Linked DNA regions of Caenorhabditis elegans. The protein of the gene in region 1 interacts with the protein of each later gene in a pairwise test. Each region holds a gene or a part of one and is shown in the gene's direction. Other genes may lie near its edges.

What was found. Proteins that work in one complex are often made in the same cells at the same time.
Region 2: the proteins of tbc-2 (region 1) and rab-18 interact in a two-hybrid assay, tested with the Caenorhabditis elegans proteins (one study listed by BioGRID).
Region 3: the proteins of tbc-2 (region 1) and rab-10 interact in a two-hybrid assay, tested with the Caenorhabditis elegans proteins (2 studies listed by BioGRID).

Annotation. Positions count from the first base shown.
Region 1 is NC_003280.10:5,821,722-5,831,366, reverse strand, and holds tbc-2 (PH domain-containing protein), read left to right. Parts: upstream 1-3,923; 5' UTR 3,924-3,940; coding exon 3,941-4,018; intron 4,019-4,201; coding exon 4,202-4,380; intron 4,381-4,424; coding exon 4,425-4,839; intron 4,840-4,883; coding exon 4,884-5,024; intron 5,025-5,071; coding exon 5,072-5,208; intron 5,209-5,257; coding exon 5,258-5,641; intron 5,642-5,688; coding exon 5,689-5,933; intron 5,934-5,984; coding exon 5,985-6,451; intron 6,452-6,499; coding exon 6,500-7,016; intron 7,017-7,067; coding exon 7,068-7,210; intron 7,211-7,260; coding exon 7,261-7,281; 3' UTR 7,282-7,511; downstream 7,512-9,645. Other genes in the region: col-74 (Nematode cuticle collagen N-terminal domain-containing protein), read right to left, coding at 1-284, 342-482; gtap-1 (Dynein heavy chain 7, axonemal), read left to right, coding at 850-1,180, 1,265-1,435, 1,480-1,600, 1,650-1,822, 1,869-2,053, 2,411-2,576; ZK1248.11 (E3 SUMO-protein ligase NSE2), read left to right, coding at 2,781-3,026, 3,074-3,277, 3,480-3,635; ehs-1 (Eps15 (endocytosis protein) Homologous Sequence), read right to left, coding at 7,769-7,841, 7,889-8,090, 8,189-9,105, 9,159-9,645.
Region 2 is NC_003281.10:1,077,193-1,083,018, reverse strand, and holds rab-18 (Ras-related protein Rab-18), read left to right. Parts: upstream 1-2,537; coding exon 2,538-2,614; intron 2,615-2,676; coding exon 2,677-2,732; intron 2,733-2,807; coding exon 2,808-3,061; coding exon of another isoform or gene 3,062-3,112; coding exon 3,113-3,337; 3' UTR 3,338-3,553; downstream 3,554-5,826. Other genes in the region: par-2 (RING-type domain-containing protein), read right to left, coding at 1-25, 1,303-1,386, 1,500-1,610; kbp-4 (KNL (kinetochore null) Binding Protein), read right to left, coding at 1,761-1,864, 1,910-2,099. UniProt on the Caenorhabditis elegans protein: The small GTPases Rab are key regulators of intracellular membrane trafficking, from the formation of transport vesicles to their fusion with membranes.
Region 3 is NC_003279.8:6,455,009-6,460,931, reverse strand, and holds rab-10 (Ras-related protein Rab-10), read left to right. Parts: upstream 1-2,452; 5' UTR 2,453-2,459; coding exon 2,460-2,586; intron 2,587-2,641; coding exon 2,642-2,954; intron 2,955-3,031; coding exon 3,032-3,110; intron 3,111-3,480; coding exon 3,481-3,567; 3' UTR 3,568-3,650; downstream 3,651-5,923. Other genes in the region: mam-8 (MAM domain-containing protein), read left to right, coding at 4,006-4,213, 4,977-5,113, 5,167-5,449, 5,579-5,923. UniProt on the Caenorhabditis elegans protein: The small GTPases Rab are key regulators of intracellular membrane trafficking, from the formation of transport vesicles to their fusion with membranes.

The DNA of each region.
Region 1 (9,645 bases):
CCGTCAGATCCTTGAGCTCCCTTTGGTCCAGCTGGTCCAGCTGGGCACGAATTGTCAGCCTGGCAGTTGCAAGATCCTCCTGGATTTGGTTCTCCTCCTTGTGTTGGGTTGAATTGTGGTGGCACTCCGACAACTCCTGGGAAGCTTCCTGGATTCATTGGGGATGCGCCTCCTGGGAATCCACCGTGAGGTGTTGGGTTGGCTCCAGAAGCTCCATATCCTCCATACTGACGTTTAACACGGCCGAACTTTTGCATATCACGATAGAGACTGTCAGTTTCAAACTAAAATTTCACATTTTTATTACTATATAACATATAACGGACTTTATATTTACTTACCTTCCATGCATCCATCTCAATATTCATCTCATTTCGGATATCTTCGATGTTGGAGCTGATACCTTGAACAGCAAAAAGAATGAATCCGATCGAAACGAGTCCGACGGTAATAGCCGCGTATGCAGTAGCTGTCGACGTCATATTCAGACTTGACATAATTATCAGATTTCTCTCATTGCTTTTTATACTTTTTTCTAGCTATGGTCATTCATCATTCAACCTGTTTTCAGAATTTCCTCCAAAAATTCCATCATGTCAATTCTCAAATTTCTCCAGCGTTTTTTAATTTGATTTCCATGCGAAATATTGCATATTCGGAAGAGATATCTAGAGAGATATTTGCATATTTCACTTATTTCCGCTAGAATGGCCATGAGATAAACGGGTTGATATCAGGGTGTGGAGAATAAGTGATTAGTGATGGTGTTTGAAATGTTACTAATAATCAAAATAATCTGAAAATTATAACGAAAACTCCGTAAATACTAATTTAAAACTTTATTTTTAGTGACGTCAAACCGGATGCTCAAATTCTACTTTGTCGAGATATCAAAGAAGTTCAATCGTTACTTTGGGATGAAGAACTGATTGAAATCATTCTTGAAGCAGTCAAATGTCGGATCCGTGTTGGATTAATTGAATTTCCAGTCAAAACATTCACGAATGCATTTGATTCATTACGAGCCGCAGCTAAATTCACTGAAGATCTTCTACCATTTGATGAATTCCGATCTCTATTTTTTGATACATGTCTCCTACTTCAGGATCAGTTTGCACAAGAGCTACTCAATGAATTACATAGAAACAACCGATTTGTCAACTTGTGGGTCGACTTAGAGGCATGTGATTTAAATTTACTGATAAAAAAAAATATTATCAGTTCGGAGAATTGATGGGTGTCTGACAAAAACTTTTTCTTTCAGAATGTTGTCATTGGTTCGATTTCACAGCAATATGCAACAACAGTCTTCCGATCAGATTCCAATGTTACCAACTTTGCTGATGCATTTTGGTTGGCATCGAGAGGTCGGATGAGTAAGGAAAATATGAATATATTCTCATGGATTTCAACAAAATCTGAATTCACATGCAAGGTATTAGCATTGGAATAAAATTTTGAAAATTAAATGTTTTTCAGCTCGAGCATATGCTGGCTTCATTCATTCGTCCCGAAGTTATTGACGTCATGAATCAGTGTATGAAGTTTGCACACAGCGCATATCGAACCAGAGAATTGCTAGTTACGATGGCTAATGACAGTGAGCTTTTCAACCGGTCAAGGATGTAATTTTACATTTTTTGTTTCAGAAGAACTACTATCTCGAATGAAATGTCCACAATCCACAATCGATGTTTCTCTCGCTCATCACAAAACGAATGCAATCGAGAAAATGAATCGAGCACTTAGAACAAAACTTCGTTTCTTTGTATTCACACTCGAACAAGTTGTGTCACATTTCAGAGAGTTGTTCTCTGATAAGGTTTTCTTAAATATCTTTTTTATAATTTTCAAATATCCTTTTCCAGGTTCGCTATGTATTTCGAACGGCACGTGATCAAATTGTGAATGCAACAAGCTTGAAGCAGGTGGAAAATGCGATTACAGATGGTCACAAGAAGCTCTCAGATCTTGTTGTACGCATTGGAATCAGACGATTGGTTCATGAAAATATGGATATGTTTATGACTATGACAGATGAGATACGGTTACGGTAAGTTATACAATTATTAAATGCAAACATTTAAATTAATATTTTGGCACTTTCAATGCCATTGGATTTAAATTTCAACTTTCAGATCAGATCAAAAAGTTTTTCCACCGAAAACACAAAAAAAGCAACAAAAAACCAAAACTAAGAATTATTAAGTTTGAAACTTCATTTTGAAAATCTAAAACAAGTTGACCAAAATTGTACTTTCTTTTAAAATTTCGACTTTAATTTTTTTCTACTCAAAATTGTTTTGTGAAGCATAATTTTTCGTATTTTTTTCCAAAAAAAAAAACATTTACAGCCATGACTGCAGCTTTTTTGATTGAGCTTTTTAAAATGAAAAATTACTATTTTCAGATCAGTCTCCAACACGTTGGATCTTGACTATTTGGATCGATGTGAAACAAGTGTTCGAATTACTTTACAAAAGCTGCTTTCTCTACACGAAGCTTGGGGAAACGACAAAGATTCCATATTTTTCCATCTTTCTGTCCGAATAGGAAAATTGAATATGGGTACCTAATCACTTCTTATTCACTGCCTGGTTTTTATCGCCTTATGTTCAAAATTTTCATGCATAATCACTTTCTGAAAATATGGGTTAATTCAATAAAAAATTTTAAATTTTAAATGTTCATTTGTAGGCTAATGTTATTCGTATATAACGATTTTTGAATTATCTTTTTTTGTTATTTAGAAGTTCAATAAGTTGTGAAATCCCTTCCAGATGTCTACCCAGCTCGCCACTAGTATGGAAATTATTCGAAAAAGTCTGAGAAAGGCTGCTGAGGATGTTCTTCATATCAATTCAAAAAATGCTATTTCAAATGAAGTAGATTCTGAAGAATTCAAAGAAACATTGATGAAAGATGCAATGAAGTTGATGGAATTGGAGACTGAAGGTGCTCAAATGCAACACATTTTTGAAGCGTTGCATAATGACCTGAAAGATGGTTCAGACGAGGTTCCGAATGTACGTTGCAGATATTTAAACAAATTATATTAATAATAATTTTGCAGGAAAAAGCATTGGAGGAGTTATACGAGAAGGCGAAAAAAACCCATAAAAATGTGAAAGGCGAGCGACAGTACTTCAAAGACATTATCAAATCTATAAGGGATGAAAGTAAAAACGATGAAAATGAAATGGAAGTGATGCAAGTTCAACATAGTAGAAAGGATCCAATTTCGAAGAAAGATATTGTCAATCCAGTTATCAGTAAGGTAAGTTTTTAACATTTTTTCTCTATTTTTCAACATTTCATCCCCGTCTTGTCATTCGGGTTGTGCAAATATATCATCTGCAATTTATGACTCATTATTTTTTGATTGACCATCCTTGTTCGTTTATTTATCTTTCGAAACATTTCATCACCACCAAATTGCAACAAAAGTTTTATTTTATATCAATAAATCAATATTCCAGAACTGTGGACACGTCTACGATAGGGATTCAATTCATGAGTTTGCTGGCAAAAAGCGAGTTATCAAGTGTGCAATGCAAGGATGCTCTGAAACTATCAACATCGGCCAACTCGCCGATTATCCCGATTACTGGACGAATATTAAACAGCAACAATAAATTATTTGATGACTAATTTTAGTCATCTCTTAATCATTTCATATTGATCTCTTACTCTATTTCATTTTCACTTCACTTCTCAATACCTCTTCCTGCATTTCACTTCTTTTTTTCTCATTTTGTTTCATAAAAATTCGATACGTTCTCTCCCTCTCCGTTCGCCACCTTCCCTCGCCTGGTGGTCGAATAAAAAACCAGTTTGTCCAGTGCGATGAGTCGTTGAACATACGATACAAATACTACTTTTGTTATTCTTTCTAAATCTCTCATATCTATTCCTACTTTCAGAACTTCAGATAACGCGGATGTCTGCGGCGCCGGGGACAATCAGCCCACCAGCTCGCGAACTAAAAACTTCGGCAATCTGTGGATACTTGCATCGGGTACGGTAGTTTGGCCTAAATATATTATTTTCGGAAAAATTTCCAGAAAATTTAAAGATTTATTTTAAAATGTCCAGAAAATTTTAAAATGACATTACTATTTTAAATTTGATCCCGAAGAACTTTTAAAAACATTAAATGCCAATCTTAGGAATCAACAAAAATGATATCCACTGTTTCCAGATCGAAGTTCGTTCGATCGGTCTGATAACACGCCGTCGCTATTGGTTCGCACTCTGTGACTCAACTCCATATCTTTACTGGTATAAAGATTCAGATGACATAAAATGTATCGGAAGAGTCTCATTGAGTGGCGCAGCATTCACTTATGATCCAAGAGAAAAAGGCCGTTTTGAAATTCAGTGAGTTTAATATAATTAATTCGTTAAAAATCGACTTATTTCAGCTCTAACAATGAAGTAATTGCGCTGGAATGTAGTTCAGACAAGCAACGCAATGAATGGATGAAAGCTCTTCAAAGTACACGGAAAAGAAGCTGGAAGGCAACGAAATCAAAATCTGATTCAAGTCTAGATATTTCGTCTTTAACGGGAAGAAATTCGTCTTCGGTCCTCGAAGAATGCTCGTCTCCTTCTCCAGTACCACCACCAAGAAGTCCAAAACCAAAGAAACGAACACAATTCCTAACTGAAGAAGAAACAGACGCTGAAACATCTTCTGATGTTCCTCACTCATCTGAGGAAACTGCCGAAGTGGTTGAAGACACAGACAACACGAAAATACCAGCTGAAGGATCTGCAACGGAATGGTATTTGAATCCAAATGGACAGCTGAATGAACGATCTCTACAGATGCCAAAGGTAAGTGAACATACAACTTGAAAACTTTCAAATTATACTTTCAGACAATCGAAAGCCCAGAAACTGTATTAAAGCGACTAGCTGATCAAAGTATAGAAGCTCCTTTTCGAGCTATTCGAAGAAATCTTTCGACTTGGAGCAGAAGTCGGCAAAATACGTCCGATGAACCAGTTGTTGGAAGTAGAGTATGTTCAAATAGTGATCAAACATTCACTATGAGTAAAATTTTCAGAAAGGTACAGTATCTTCTGTTGATCTAACTCCTGAAGAGAAAGTTATTGAATTGTCTGATAAAGTTTCAAGTCTGGAGGAAGTTGTCGATTCGCTGAGAGCTGCTCTTCTACTAGCTCAAAGAAATAATGAAGCACTGTGAGTTTTATTATTTAATTAAAATCATAATAAATTGTTGAAATTTTAGTCAGAAAATCGAGGATATGGGAGATAATAAGGAGGAAATGCGAGAGTATATACTGGAAAAGGAGCGACAAGTCACCGAATTACATATTTCGAATAGCATGAATGCTCGACGAGTTCGTGATCTTGAAGATCAAAATGTAAGGCTTGAGGATACGATCAATGATTTGCAACAATCAGTAGAAGCTTTCCGAGAATCATTACGAACAAAAGAAGAGCTTATTCTTCGAATGTGTGAAGAAGAAAATCGAGAAGACTTACTAGGATCGATATCTGAAAGAAGCTCGAATATTCCTGCAGACGCAAATGGACTTGTATCGGATGTTGAGGTTCCTGAAGGCATTCTTGTCGATGTATCATCAGTTGATTGTGAAGAAGCTACCAGGAAGTACGAATTTATTTTTACAATTTAAATTTTAAAGTATTTTATTTTAGGGTTCTAGACGAAGAAAATGTTCGTGATATTGGAGAACTTCAAGATCTCGTAGAAGGATACCGTACCCAGAATCAGTTTTTGAATGCGGAAATAGTCCAATTGCATGCTATCACTCAATCTCTGGAAGATCGAGAGAAGAAGCTGATTCGTCAAAATTTCGACCTCGAAGCCTGCTATTACCAATTAAAAAGCCGTTATTTGATGGTTCTAAACCATTTTAAGTCTCCGACAAAACCAGGAAAAAGTGAGTTTTTAAACAATTTTCTGTTATAATATAATCACTTTTGCTCTACAGTAATGGAACCTGGTGTGTTGAAAGAATTACTCGAAGAGTCGGCAAGAACACCTCGAGAATCTCAGCAAAACCTCACGGATCAGTTGGGATTCTATAAAAAGGATGATTTTTCTGAAAGCGATGATCTTTTGGATACTGCCACGTTTTACATGAAAAAAGCGGGAGACGTAGTGGAAGCAACGAAATTGGAACAATCTGAAGAATACATGAAATGGTTACAATCGTGGGATGCGTTCCTTGTCAACAATACAGTATCCCGGCAGACTGCAATCATGTCTTCACCTGATCTAAAAACTCTTATTCGAACTGGAGTACCACCTGCCTACAGAGGTCGTGTATGGAAGATAATTGTGACACATTGGGTGAAGGATAAGCAAGCAGAATTGGGTAATGGATACTATCAAAGTATGCTCAGAAAGGCTGGAACAAAGAAGCAGGATGGAAGTTACGATGCAGCCATCAAACAGGTATATTTATATTATTCTAAATTCGAGTTTCTCATATTATTTTTTCAGATTGATCTTGACCTCGCTCGAACTCTGCCCACGAATAAACTTTTCGACGAGCCAGATTCTGCTAACATAGAAAAACTACGAAACGTACTCTACGCCTTCCGATACCATAACTCTCACGTCGGCTACTGCCAAGGACTCAATCGTCTTGCTGCAATTGCTCTGTTAAACCTGGATGAGCAGGATTCGTTCTGGTTCCTTGTAGCATGTGTGGAACATCTCCAACCTGAAGGATATTACACTAGCTCACTGATCGGAGCGGTTGCCGATCAGAAAGTTCTCCGCGATCTTGTAGCAGAAAAGCTTCCAAAATTGGCTGCACATTTGAGAGCTCTTGAAGTTGATCTTTCACTTTTCGCGCTCAGTTGGTTCCTGACGTGTTTTGTAGATGTACTCCCGCATTCTATTTATCTGACTATATTCGATGCATTCCTCTATGAAGGAAATAAGGTTCTTTTTCGATTCGCACTGGCACTTTTCAAAATATGCGAACCTCACGTTCTTCAATGTAAAACTATTGGTTTGTGACTTACAACTTTAAATTTATTAGTTTTTTAACAAGAATTTTCAGGCACAGTTCATCAATGTCTCAGCAAAGCTCAAGAACATATCATTGACTTCAAGTCGCTAGCTCAAGTGGCATTCAACGAACTGAATCCGTTCCCTCAGAAGACTATAGAAACTAAACGACAACTCTATTTGACACAATTGAAGGTAAACAGTAATATATAAATAAATTCTAATATAGCGATTATTATTTTCAGGATACTGGCCACTGTATGTAAATCCGACACGAACATTCTTGTACATCTAATCTGTATTTTCTTTCGATTTCTAGCATAATTATGTCTTCTTCACACAACTTTTTCACTATTATTTTCAAACTTCTGTGATTCTCCTTTTTCCTTATCAATTTCTTTTACGGTTTACTTCCCCCCCTTCAACCCGTTTACTTGTGCTCCGTTTTTACACATGAGACTGAAAATATCAAATACGCAACATAAAATTAATCTGCAAATCATTTACTATATATTATAACTCATAATTTACATAATAATCATGCATATTCATATTCTACAGTATATAACATTATTGCTCTGATTTCATAACCTAGAAAAGTGACAATTCAAGTGGGAAAGTGCAAAAAAACTAATCTTAAAAATGTGCATCAATAAATTATGTCGATGACTTGGCACAGGTAAACATTTGGGCAAAGTAAAACAATTTGACTGGCGTTGGGGCTTATAGTGGGTAAGGTATAATTATTAAAAATCAATTGAAAGCCGATCCAAAGTCCGCAAAATCAGCGAATCCAGCCGGTTGAGTTGATTGTCCTTGTGATGGGCTGAAATTATTTAGACTTTAAATAAATTGATACTCACTAAGACTTACGCAAAAGGATCATTGACAGGTGTTTCGCGAGCAGATTTTGGAGGAGCTGGGCGAGGTGGAGCAGGTTTTGCGGGAGCCGATTGTGCGAAGCCAGAATCCGATGGGAAGCCTCCTTGAGCAAATGGATCAGTTGGGAAAGCGGCATCAAAATGTCCAGATGAGCCGAACTGATCTACTTGGGCGAATGGATCAGCAGCAGGATCTGGAAATTGAATTTATGTTATATATTCATATTTCAAAACTTTAAGTCAGAATAAAAGTTTTCATAACTCTTTTTGTTTCTTAAAAATATAAACCTACTTGCTCTGGCGGATGCAAACGGATCAGGTGGTTGTTGAACATGATTTTGAGATGATGTTCCAGCTGTTTCTCCATAAACAGTGTCATCGGATAGCAACGATTGATCGATTACAGTAGACAATAATCGTTGTTGCGACCTCAGAATTTGAACCATTTCCTCCTCGGATTTTTCGACTGCATCTGATACTTGTTCTGTTAGTTTTGTCGTGTTCTCGATTGCAGCATCCAGCTTTTCCATTTGTATCTGATCTCTTGCTTCTTTTCGTTCTAGAGTTGTCAATTCGGCCACCTTTTGCTCTCTTTGTGATGTTTCTTTGACAATTTCTCCACGAACAGTTTTGAATTGATTATCGAGCATTTCAATTTCTTTTTTCAATTCTTCCATTTCTTTTTCATCATTTGCTTTACAGTCCTCAGCATTCTTTGCATCTTCATCAATTTGTTGCATTCGTTTCTCGGTATCTTCTTTCGTTTCTTTCTGTGCTTTACATGCTGATTCTAACTGTTCTATTTGAGTATCATAATCAGCTAATCTTCGTGTGGCTTCACCTTTTTGTCGCTCCAACTGTTTAACTGTCGACTCCAAGGTGGCCAATTCAACCTGCAGATTTTTGATACTCGAGTTCTTAATAGTCATATCAGCTTCTAGTTGTAAAACAGCTTCTTCTGCAGTTTTCCGCTCCACCAGCATTGATTGAATAGACTCTGCGAGCTGCTTCATCTCTTCGTTTTCGCCTTCCAAAGCTTCTTTAATTTCCATCGAAGTTGCTTCTGGGAGCTGTGGAGTTGAAACTGATTGAGCAGGATGATGCAAAGCTGAAGGTTCCGTAGGTGGGCGGAATGAAGGTGGAATCAGATGTAAAGGCAGTTCTGATGGGATGGACTCGCCTCGTTTTGCCATGTCAAGAAGATGCATTCTGAAAATTAATATTTAGTTACACTAGATATTTGGTAAACTTGAAAGACTTACGTCAAAGCAAATTGCTCCAAATTCAACTGTCCACATTTTTTTATATCTGCTAATGCCCAGACATGTGCTAATATCTGTGCACTCAATCCAGTAGTCATCATGGGAGCTCTCATATCCATGCCATCAACCAATCCATCCTTATTCGTATCAGTTTGAGCAAATTGATCAGCATAATCTCCTGTATTGATAGGCCATTCACCAGCAGGAAATGAGTGAATCGAGTGAGAAGCAGATATCGGAGTTGATGCACCACTGGTTCGTGATCCATTCACATGAGCCTGTGCAGAGTAAGCACGACCTGGTTGTGGTGGATATGCACGTGGCATCGTTGCAGAATACGATTGACTCATGTTCACATCATCCAATGACGTCACAGATCCTGCTCTCGATCCCATCATCGGACGTGGAGGATGTGGAGGAGCAGCGAAATTCGGTGAGCTGTGAGCATACATTGCTTTCGAAGGATGAATGAGATTTGGTGGGAGCT
Region 2 (5,826 bases), on another chromosome or scaffold:
AGTGCCCACATGTTACCATTACGGGCTGAAAATTTGGAAAAATTGGCTGAAAATTGTAAAAATTAGGGTAGAAATGGGGTTTTTCGGCTGAAAATCGAAAAAATCGGCGGAAAACTGGGATTTTTGACATAAAAATTGGAAAAATCCGGGAAAATTGATGGTTTTTGGGCTAAAAATCGGAAAACTCCGCTGAAAAACTGGGGTTTCTTGAGCTAAAAATCTGGGAAAATGGGTGATTTTTGAGATGAAAAACGTAAAAAAACGGGAGAAAACTGTGTAGTTTTTGGGCTAAAAATTGTAAAAATCCTGAGAAACCGAGATTTTTGGGTTAAAAATCGGGAAAATCCTGGGAAAAATCGGTGATTTTTGAGCTAAAAATTGTGTAAAAATCGGCAGAAATCGGTGTGATTTTTGGGTTAAAATTGTAAAAATCCGGAAAAATTTGGATTTTTCGGCTGAAAATTGAAAAAAATCTTAAAATATTGAAGTTTTTTGAGCAAAAAATTGGAAAAATCTGGAAAAATGGGAGGTTTTTGAGCTGAAAATCGAAAAAAATCGGTTATTTTTGAGCTAAAATCAGAAAAATCCGAAAAAAATCGGTTATTTTTGAGCTAAAATCAGAAAAATCCGAAAAAATTGGGGTTTTTTGGGCTAAAAATTGTAAAAGTCCGGAAAAATTGTGGGTTTCGAGCTAAAAATCGTTAAAATATGGGAAAAACTGGAGTTTTTTGGCTAAAAACCGAAAAAATCCGGCAAAATTGGGGTTTTTAGGGCTAAAAATCGGAAAAATCCAAAATTTTAAGCTAAAATCTGTAAAAATCCGAGAAAAACTGGGGTTTCTGAGCTGAAAATCGAAAAAAATCTGAAAAATTGTGGTTTTTAAGCTAAAAACTGTAAAAATCCGAGAAAAACTGGGGTTTTTGTGCTGAAAATCTTAAAAATCCAAAGTTTTTAGTCTAAAAATCGTAAAAATCGGCAAAAAACTGTAAAAATCCGAGAAAATCTGTGATTATTATGCTAAAAATCGGAAAAAATGCGGTTTTCTAGCTAAAAATCCCCAAAAAATCGTGATTTTTGGCTGAAAATCTGGAAAAATGGGCAAAAACAAGACAATTTTCGGAATTTCAAGTTTTTATGAGAAAATTTCGCATTTTTCCCCGATTTTTCACATTTATAGCTGGAAAAAGACGAAAATTGCACATTTTTGGGTCAAAAATGGGTAAAATTAAGCGATTTTTAATGGAAAATCCGCCATTTTTCACGCAATTTTTCTTGAAATCCTCGGTATTTCCATGTTCTAACCCTGTCGAAAAGCTGATCACACAGTGGACAGAGGAGTTCCGAGCTCAAATCGCGTCGAACCGGCTGTTGAACGTCGTTGATGCACTGAAAATTGTGTTTTTAGGCGGTTTCCAGGGCGAAAAACACGATTTTCTGCTTATTTTCCAGCAAAAAATGCGTTTTTTCGATTTTTTTCGCCGCTAAAAATCCGATTTTACCGCTGTAGAAGTAGTTGCGTTGGACTCCAGCAGACGTGGCGATGAGTTGGCAATCGATAAATCGCTCTGCGAAGCCCGTATTTGAGCGGATGAAGTGTCTAAATCCGTCATTTTTGGGCTGAAAATGAGGATTTTGAGCCTGAAAAATCATTGAAAAACGCTGAAAAATAAGTATAAAATGCATGAAAAGTACAGAAAACTGGGAAAAACAACGGGGTTAAGGAATACAGAACTTTATATGTACAGAAATAATGAAAATTGTTAGAAAATTTCCTCGGCGACCTTCTTCAGCTCATCCTGAAACTCTTTTTGAAGAGAAAACGCGAATTCCTTGACTTTATACTGCTCCTGGAGGTCTTCGAGTTCTAGGAAATGGGAAAATTATTGTGAAAATTCACTAAATTTCTCACGTTTTTCCACCAATTTTCGCTTCTCGAGCGTCTCCTCCAGCTTCCGATCGGCCTCGTCCATTTCCTTGTTAATTATCTGCAGTTTGGAGGCGCAAACTTCTTGGAGATCCGAAAAATCTTGGGTTTTCGGCAGTTTTTCGACTTTTACCGCGAGAACTTCGTTGATCATGTCGTCGATTGATTTTTGCATTTTTTTTGATTGCTGAAAACTGATAAAAATTTGGAAAAATTATAAAAAACAAAAAAAATAAAAATAAAAAACACGAAAAACGTTTAAAAATTAAAAAAACAAAAAAACAAATTTCAAACAAATCCATTTTCGCGCCATCGGGTCTCACCACGACAGGCACTTGGCATCGTGCCAAGTGCAAGTGCGCTCCATCGCTCTCTTTTCCGAAAGAGCGTCTCGTGCAACGACATCTGACATTTTCGAAGGGAAATTTATTGATTTTTCGGCAAATTTTTGGGTTTTAAGGTGAAAAATCTATTTAAAAGTGTTAAAAAATTAACTTAAAATGGGGAAAATACCCTGAAAAATCGAGTTTTTTATCTTTTATCCTTAAAAACGTAAATTTCCCAACAAAAAAAAAATTATCCTGCATTTTCCCTTCGTTTTTACGAATTCCAGATGTCCGACGACAGTTCAAGCCCCCTCACAACTCTCAAAATCCTGATTATCGGCGAAAGTGGCGTAGGGAAGTCGAGGTGAGGGGTTTTCTCGCCCAAAAAAAATTTAAAAAAATCAATTTAAATTCAAAAATTTTCAGCTTAATGCTACGATTCGTGGACGATGTCTTCGATCCTGAGCAGGCTGCAACGATAGGTTCGTGGAAATTCCAGGGATTTTTGGATTTTTTGATTTTTAGGCCAAAAAAACCCTAAATTTATTGTTTTTTAGGCGTGGATTTCCGCGTAACTTCAATGGCAATCGACGGAAATCGTGTAAAACTCGCAATTTGGGACACCGCCGGCCAGGAGAGGTTCCGTACCCTCACGCCGAGCTATTATCGTGGAGCACAGGGCGTAATTTGCGTGTATGACGTCACTAGCCGCAGCTCCTTCGAGAAATTGAATCATTGGATGCAAGAAGTCGATACTTATTGCACAAATGACAATATTATCAAGATGATGGTCGCGAACAAGATTGATATGGTGCGAAAAAGCCGATTTTGTTCGATTTTTGGCCTAAAAAATAATTTTCAGCCAAATCGAGTGGTAACCCGCGAGGAAGGCCTAAAATTCGCAAAACGCCACCGCACACTATTCATTGAAGCTTCTGCGAAGACTAAGGAGGGTGTACAGTGCACATTTGAGGAGCTTATCGAGAAAATCATTCAAACGCCCGACTTATGGGACAATGACCGCCCGTCTTTTCGGTTGGGACAACCGACGGGCTCCAGTGGTGGCGGCGGAATGTGTGGATGCTAGGAAATTCTCGCGGAAAATTCGTTCATTTTGACATAAAATCGATATTTTTACTGTAAAATTCATCAATTTTCACCTAAAATCCTGTTTTTTTCATGTAAATTGTCAAAATTTGACCTAAAATCCTGTTTTTTCCATGTAAAAACGTGAATTTCGGTTTAAAATCGCCAATTTTCCCTCAAAATCGCCGTTTTTTCCATATAAAAATGTCCAACTTTGGCTTAAAATCGCTGGTTTTTCATGCAAAGTTTATCGATTTTAACCTAAATTAGGCCTTTTTCCATGTAAAAATGCAAATTTTCCCCTAAAATCGCCAATTTCCCAGCAAAATCGCTGTTTTCGATGCAAAATTCATCAATTTTCACCTAAAATAGCCCGTTTTTTTTCATGTAAATTGCCAAATTTTGACCTAAAATAACCATTTTTTCATGTAAAATCGCCGATTTTGGCTTAAAATCGCAAATTTTCCCCCATAATGGCCGTTTTTCATGGAAAATCGCCGATTTTGGCTTAAAATCGCCAATTTCCCATCAAAATCGCTGTTTTCGATGCAAAATTTATCGATTTTCACCTAAAATAGCTATTTTTCCCTGTAAAAATGTCAATTTTGACTTGAAATTGCCAATTTTCACCTGAAATCCCCGTTTTTCATTCAAAATTTATCGATTTTCACCTAAAATAGCTATTTTCCATGAGGAAATGTCGATTTTGGCTTAAAATTGCCACTTTTTCATGTAAAAATGTCAATTTTTCTCAAAAATCGCCGTTTTTCGTGCAAAATTTATCGATTTTCATCTAAAAAAGCTATTTTCCATACAAAAATACCAATTTTGGCTTAAAATTGCCACACTTTTTCATGTAAAAATGCCATTTTTTCCATGTAAAAACGACAATTTTCCCCCAAAATCGCTGTTTTCCATGTAAAATTACCAATTTCGGCTCAAAATTTCCAATTTTCATGTAACATTTATCGATTTTCACCTAAATTAGCCATTTTTCCGAGCAAAAATGCAAATTTTGGCCTAAAATCGCCAATTTTCCCCCAAAATTGTCGTTTTTCCGTGTAAAATTCATCGATTTTCACTTAAAATAGCTATTTTCCACGCAAAATTTATCGATTTTTACCTAAATTAGGCCCTTTTTTCATGTAAAATGTCAATTTTGACCTAAAATCGCTGGTTTTTCATGCACAATTCATCGATTTTCACCTAAAAAAAAAGTTCTTTTCCATGTAAAAATGCCAATTTTGTCTTAAAATTGTCAATTTTTCCCCAAAATTGCTGTTTTTAATGTGCAAAATTCATCGATTTTTCCGCGAAAAATCCCCGTTTTCCATGCAAAATTTATCGATTTTTACCTAAATTAGGTCGATTTTCCCCCAAAATTCCCCCATTTTTCATGTAAAATTCGTCCATTTTCCCCGCTAAATTGTACAAAAAACCACCCGAAAATCCCCCAATTTCACATAATTCTTGTCAAATTTCACACATTTTCAGTGCCTTTAAGCCCCGTTTTTTTGCTATAAAATTGCAACATTTTTCCTGTAATTTATTGGATTTTTGTGTTATTTTTTCTCTCGTTTTCAGCGATTTTCAGCATATCTTCATCGATTTTTTGCAGATTTTCAGCTATTTTTTTATCGATTTTTTTGGGAGATTTTTGTCATTTTTCACCTAATTTTATTGATTTTCAGCCTAATTTTGTGTGTGCTTTTACCCATTTTTCTATTATTTCCATCATTTTCCCCGAAATTTTATAGATTCTACCTATTTTTCAGCAAAATCTCATTTTTCAGCGATTTTTCATCATTTAAGCTATTTTTTATCGATTTTCACCGAATTTTCAGCTATTTTATCAGAAAAATCTCAGTTTTTTCCGGCAAATTCACTCAAATTTCGCCTATTTTAGCGAGGAGCTCTTTTTTCCAGCATTTTCACCGAATTTTCTTTTTTTTTCGTAAAAAAATCACCAAATTTCCTCATTTCCAACCTATTTTCTCCATTTTTTCGCGGTTTTTCCCGAATTTTAAACAATTTTTCGCCAAAAAACCCCAAATTTCTTCATTTCCAACCTTTTTATTCCATATTTTCGCCATTTTCTCGGGATTTTCAGCTATTTTTTCCAGAAAAACTCCTATTTTTTCGGCAAATTCACTCAAATACCGTTTATTTTCTCACAATTTATCGTTTTGGAGCTATTTTTCCAGCATTTTCACCGAATTTTAAGCAATTTTTTAAAAAATCACCAAATTTCCTCATTTTCGTCCAATTTTCTCCATTTTTTCGCGATTTTGAGCAATTTTTTCCAGAAAAACTCCAAATTTTCTCACTTTCACCCTATTTTTTTCCATATTTTCGCCATTTTGTCGGGTTTTTCAGCTATTTTTTCAGAAAAACCTCCATTTTTTCGCGATTTCCACCGAATTTTCAACGATTTTTCCAAAAAATCGCCAAATTTCCTCATTTTCGCCCAATTGTCTCCATTTTTCCGCG
Region 3 (5,923 bases), on another chromosome or scaffold:
ATTTGAATGCAACGCCTTGGCGGCAAGTGCAACGGAGCGTGTTTGCCTGGAGTCGTTGCAAAATAAAAACTGGGGAATACTTTAATTGCTCAAGAATTAGTTAGAAAAAAAATGGTAATAGCTTGAATATTTGGCTTTGAGTAGTATAAACGGTTTATTTATAGTTTTATAAAATAATTGTTCCAAAAAATCTCTAATTACACTGCTTGAGATAATGAGATATCAGTGAATCTGTGTTCCATGATTTTTACATTAATTTTATCCGCAAGGTGTCACCATTGAACATATTTGAAACAATATTCTTCGAAGCCATTCTCAATATTTAATTTGTTTTTAAAGAGCTTTATAATGAAAATAAATGAAAAATATCGACAATTCATGCTTTTATTAATTTTTCCAAGTCTACTCACTTAAATCACATTTTTCTCCATGATCATCGATCGATATGATTGTTTTCTCCGTATTACAATTGTTTGTTCCTACGATTTTGCCCTAGATTCTGCAAAAGCATTAGTCATTCACAATTCTCTATGTCCGCTCACCGCCCGTCCATTCTAAAGTGGGCGATGATGATTTCGCAATACTCTTTCTCTTCCTATGAACAAACATTCTTTCTTCAATATATTCTTACTGCCATTCTTACAATCCTAAGTGTTGATCGGTCGATAGCCATTCCGATTCCTACTCAAGCTAAAGTCAAGTTGTTCTCACAATCATTCAATAATTCTACATATATGTACATAGCTTCGGGAATTATTTATTCCATACTTTTCCAGCTAAATTGAAGGTTAAAAAGTATACCATAAAAACATATCGATTCCAGGATCAAATTATTCCATGCAGCATGGAATGTGAAAAAACTTCAGATGATTCTGAAAAGTCATAATTTTCGATTCGTTAATTAATTTCGTTAATATGAAGTTAATTCTAAATAGGTGGGAAAAAACTATTATTCAAATTTTCATGAACAGATTAGCTTGAAGTTTTGTGAAAAGGTTTTAATATTAATTTTCGCAATAATTTTGTTTTAAACTCAGAATGATTCATGCCGCTTGAACTTTTTCTTTTCATTTTTTGTTGAACCTTCTCCCACCGGAAACATAAAAACACATGATCCAACTACCACCACTAAGCTGTCAACACTTTGCCCTTTGCTTTCGCCAAGCTCTTGTGAAGCAGCTCATGTCTTTTTTCTTTTTCATCCTTCCAACAACGCGCGCTCTCTCTCTCTTTCTCCGTCTCTATTCCTTTTCTCGTTGTCTCGGTTCCATCGATCTCCCATTCAACATACGGCCGAGGCGCCCTCTCTTGTCTGTATCTCTGGTCTCTCTATCATCTAGAGAATGAGTCCTTTTCTTTCTCCACCATCTCATCAAATTAAACGTCTATTTCGGGGGTTTTGTCTATCTAGTAGAGGTCCAACCACACTAGCCTTCAAAAATTTCACCACGCCCAATGCCCTCCACCACTGAGAATTGACCCTTGTCAACAACCTTGTCTTCTGAATTTTTGATGACAGAGGCAACGGCTTCTTTTGATTTTTGAAGTTTTGAGATTGCGACTTCCTTTTCATCATTGACTCATTTTTTTCGATAATCAAAAATTATACACTACGAGGGAGCGATGTTCTCTTTAATTTTTTTTTGCTGTAGCTTCTTTTAATTTTCAAAACAATTTATCAAAACATAGCTTTCTGAAATCACCCTGAAATTTCAGCTGAAACTTATTATTTGAAAAAATATTAGAAATGTATTTTTTAACTTCAAAAAATCTAGCACATTTTGATATTCACCTATCATAATTATGAGTTAGTGTTCCTATTGTTTTTATATCAATTAATATGTTCATTTCTGTTCCTAAAATATTTCATCACAAATTATTGAAAAATCACAGTTTCTTGAACATGTCGTTCACATTTTATTCCTTATCACTTCACACATCTCATGCCATCTGATAACGTACTTTGCATTACAAAATTGCAAAGTTCACCATTCAATTTCAAATAAAAAGCACTTTCGATCAATAAACGTCCACCTGTACCCGTTTTAGATTCGCTTCCTTTCCAAATAACAATTATAATGATCTCTTTGTGTTTTCGTGACCCGCAGAGGAAGCCAGCAGCTGCTGTTCACCTTTTCCCGAGAATTTCCCAGAAACAGCTAATCGATGTGATTTGCGCATGCACGCGTTAATAGCTCCGTTCAAATTTTTTTTTGTTATAATGGAAACAACAATTAACTATTTTGTCCTGTTTTTTCTTTGACAACATTTTATGACAAAAACCTAATTTTGGAAAACTAGAAAAAAATTAGAAAGTTCTTCCAAATATCTTCCAATTGTCAACTCTTGATAACTTCTTCGAAATCTCAAAGTGTTCGTTCTATTTGCCATGACTCAAGTGCTTTTCTCTTACTTTTGTGCAACTTTAGTTCTCAACTTTTTCTCATTTCAGAAGAAAAATGGCTCGCCGACCGTATGACATGCTCTTCAAATTGCTGCTAATAGGCGACTCAGGAGTTGGAAAAACTTGCATTCTGTACAGATTTTCGGATGATGCCTTTAACACCACATTCATCTCAACTATTGGTTAGTTTTTATTCAGAATCTAGTGATTTCAAAATAATTTTCTTTTTTCATTCAGGAATCGACTTCAAAATTAAAACTATCGAATTAAAAGGAAAAAAGATTAAATTACAAATCTGGGACACAGCTGGACAAGAACGATTCCACACAATCACAACATCATATTACCGCGGAGCAATGGGAATTATGCTGGTTTACGATATCACAAATGCGAAAAGTTTTGACAATATTGCAAAGTGGTTGCGCAATATTGACGAACATGCATCGGAAGATGTTGTTAAAATGATATTGGGAAATAAATGTGATATGAGTGATAGACGAGTTGTGAGCAGAGAACGAGGAGAGAAGATCGCACAAGATCATGGTATTAGGTACGTTTTGGGAGATTAAAAAGGATTAAAAAATAAAAAAATATATATATATAATCTCAAACAATTTTTATTTTCAGCTTCCACGAGACTTCAGCTAAATTGAATGTTCACGTCGATACAGCGTTTTACGATTTAGCAGAAGCAATTCTGGCTAAGGTAAAGTTTTAAAATGTTTTTAAAAATTAAAATTAAGGATGTGAAAATTCGAAATATATTAGTACATTCTTTGCACGGGCGAATATATGTTCTGATAGTATTGAAATCGACGAAAATGTGATAATTAGATTGCTAAATGCATTAGAATCTGATTTTTTCTTGTGAAATTGTTCGTAATTAGTTGAAAAATCTAAGAGCCTTTTTATTTTTGTCCTCATTACTCTTCTAGTACAAAATATGAAGAGCGAAACTTCTTCGTTTTTAATCATGCAAAAAATTTTAATCGCTTCGTCAAAAATTGCACCAGAATAATCTAAATTAGTTTCATTAATACGATTGTTTTTTTTTCATAATTTGTTTTTATTTTCAGATGCCTGATTCCACTGACGAGCAATCCCGCGATACGGTGAATCCAGTGCAACCACAGAGGCAGAGTAGCAGTGGAGGATGCTGCTAGATTCATGTTTTTCCCTCTTACTTCTCTATTCTCCAATTTGGTTTTGTAAATGTTTCATCCGGGTATTCATGAATTTGAATGTCAATACATCTTTTTTGCTTCTTCTTCTTTCCCCCTCATTTTTTTTCGAATTTTTGCCTCACATTCTTCCCTTCTAGGAAACATTTTCTCCATTTCCACTTACCTGTTCTAACTAATGATCGTTTAAATATGTTCTCCATTTCTTTCAATTTCCCTCCCCCTTTTACTTTTCTTACAAATCTTCTCGTGCGCAGAGACTTAATAAAATAAATTGCTCTTCTTCCACATGCTAACTAGCCATCTTTACCTTCATTGCTTACTCTTGTATAATTGACATGTCCTCCCCCTCCCCCCGAAAACCGGTCACTTGTTGAATATCCAACGAGGTCACTCTAACCAACTTCAGGATTATGACAGATGACACCGTTCAACGCAATGCTTTTCAAAATTATCTACCTAGTAGTACTACCTATTTCTTACTGTACGGAGTTATGTACATTCAACGAAGGAACCTGTGAATGGGATATCAGACCTCCGTGGAATGTTGTCTCGTTGGCAATTCTTCCACGTCATCAGCATCCTGGACTACTAAATATTTCAAAGACACCCGATGTTATCACTTCTGGTGAGAAATTAAATGTATTTTCTAATGTCTTCTAGACTACATCTCGTGTATAGCATGTTCACTATTAAATCGAAATGACTAAATACATTGGCCGATCGGAGAACCTGAAATTTAGCTTCAATGGTTAATTTATTATTTGCACAAAGATTCACAACAATCATCTACTATCTCAAAACAGGTTTTATACGGTAGATCGCAATGTGCTCATCACCACGATTTCTTGCCGCGATTTTACTATAGTCACATAGATTCAAGCAGTCTAGTAGACCCTCACGGATGATGTCACATGTTAAAAAAGTTACCGACATTTTTAAAGATCATGTTCTACGGAATGTACCACGTCGGCCGTTTTTCTCATTGAGACTACGGTAGAATCGCGATTTATTCGAATCGTGGCGAGATATCAGTTACAGTTATCTGTACTTTTACAATTTTCTTTTCAGTTTTAGTTATAGTTTTTCTAAACATGTACTCGAATTGGGGCAAAAGTACTAAATATATATATTTGAAAATCTACAATTTTGTACAATCATCAATGTTTTAGGTCAATCTTTTGGCAAAATGCCGAAATTTGGAATCTTAAATATCCGCTTCTGTACTCGTAATTTTCGTGTAGTAACAATGAAAACATTGAGAAAGTAATTTAGTATACTGAAACCATTTACTTCAAGTTTTGAAAAATCTAGGAAGGTCACCAAGTGTGTCCTTTGAAACTTGCGCACTCTAACATAAATGGGGAATTTTAAAGTCGCTCGTTTTTCAGAAGGACCATTCCTACTTGCACAAGGAAAGTTCGCATCAGTGCCCTCGTCAAGAGTTACTTCTCAGAAAATCTCAAAATCAGATCATATGAGAATACTTGCATATCGGTATCAACGTCGTGGAATGGCGACTTTGAGGGTATTTTCCCATTTTAGTTTGAAATTTATGAAAACTCTTACTTATAATTTCAGATTCTTTTAAAAAACCAAACAGACGAGATCTTACTTGATACCATATCCTCAAATGAGATAGAAAGAATCAAATGGCATCGTCGAAGTGTCATTTTTCCTCCAATTCCAGATTATAATCAAACAAGTGTTATATTTGAATGTGATAATATTCAAACTGCTGAAGATATCATTGCTGTCGATGAAATTGACGTGGCAACACCTGCAAATGTTATGTGGGCGGGACAAGATTCCAAGTTTTTTGATGAAGAAGATATACGAAGAAGAGAAATTCGGAGAAGTTCAAGTAAGTTGATATTGTAGACAATATTCGGATCCCTAAAACGTTTTTTTCGTTCTTTCCTTGTTTTTTACTAATGCGAATAATATTCTACAAAAATCCCAAGGACCATCTCTATAACTTTTAAAAATTCAGAATTATCAAATGTATGTACTCCAATCTCTTGTCATTTTCGTTCTTCAATTTGTTCCTGGCAATCAACGAATATTCAACTTCTTCCATCTAAAATTGTGAATGAAGCAGCTGGTGAATCAACTTTGACATCTTCTCCAGTTCGTTTACCAATTGATGCACCATCTTTCATTCAATTACAAATGTTTAATAGTCAAGGATCTGTGACTTCTTTATCATTTCGAAATATTGGTTCAATGAATGAAAAAGTGATATGGACTGAAAAAGAGGATTCATCAATTCCCGATTCAACTGGAACTCAAAATGGATGGAATCGAGTTTTAATTTCATTGGAATCAGTTCCAAAAG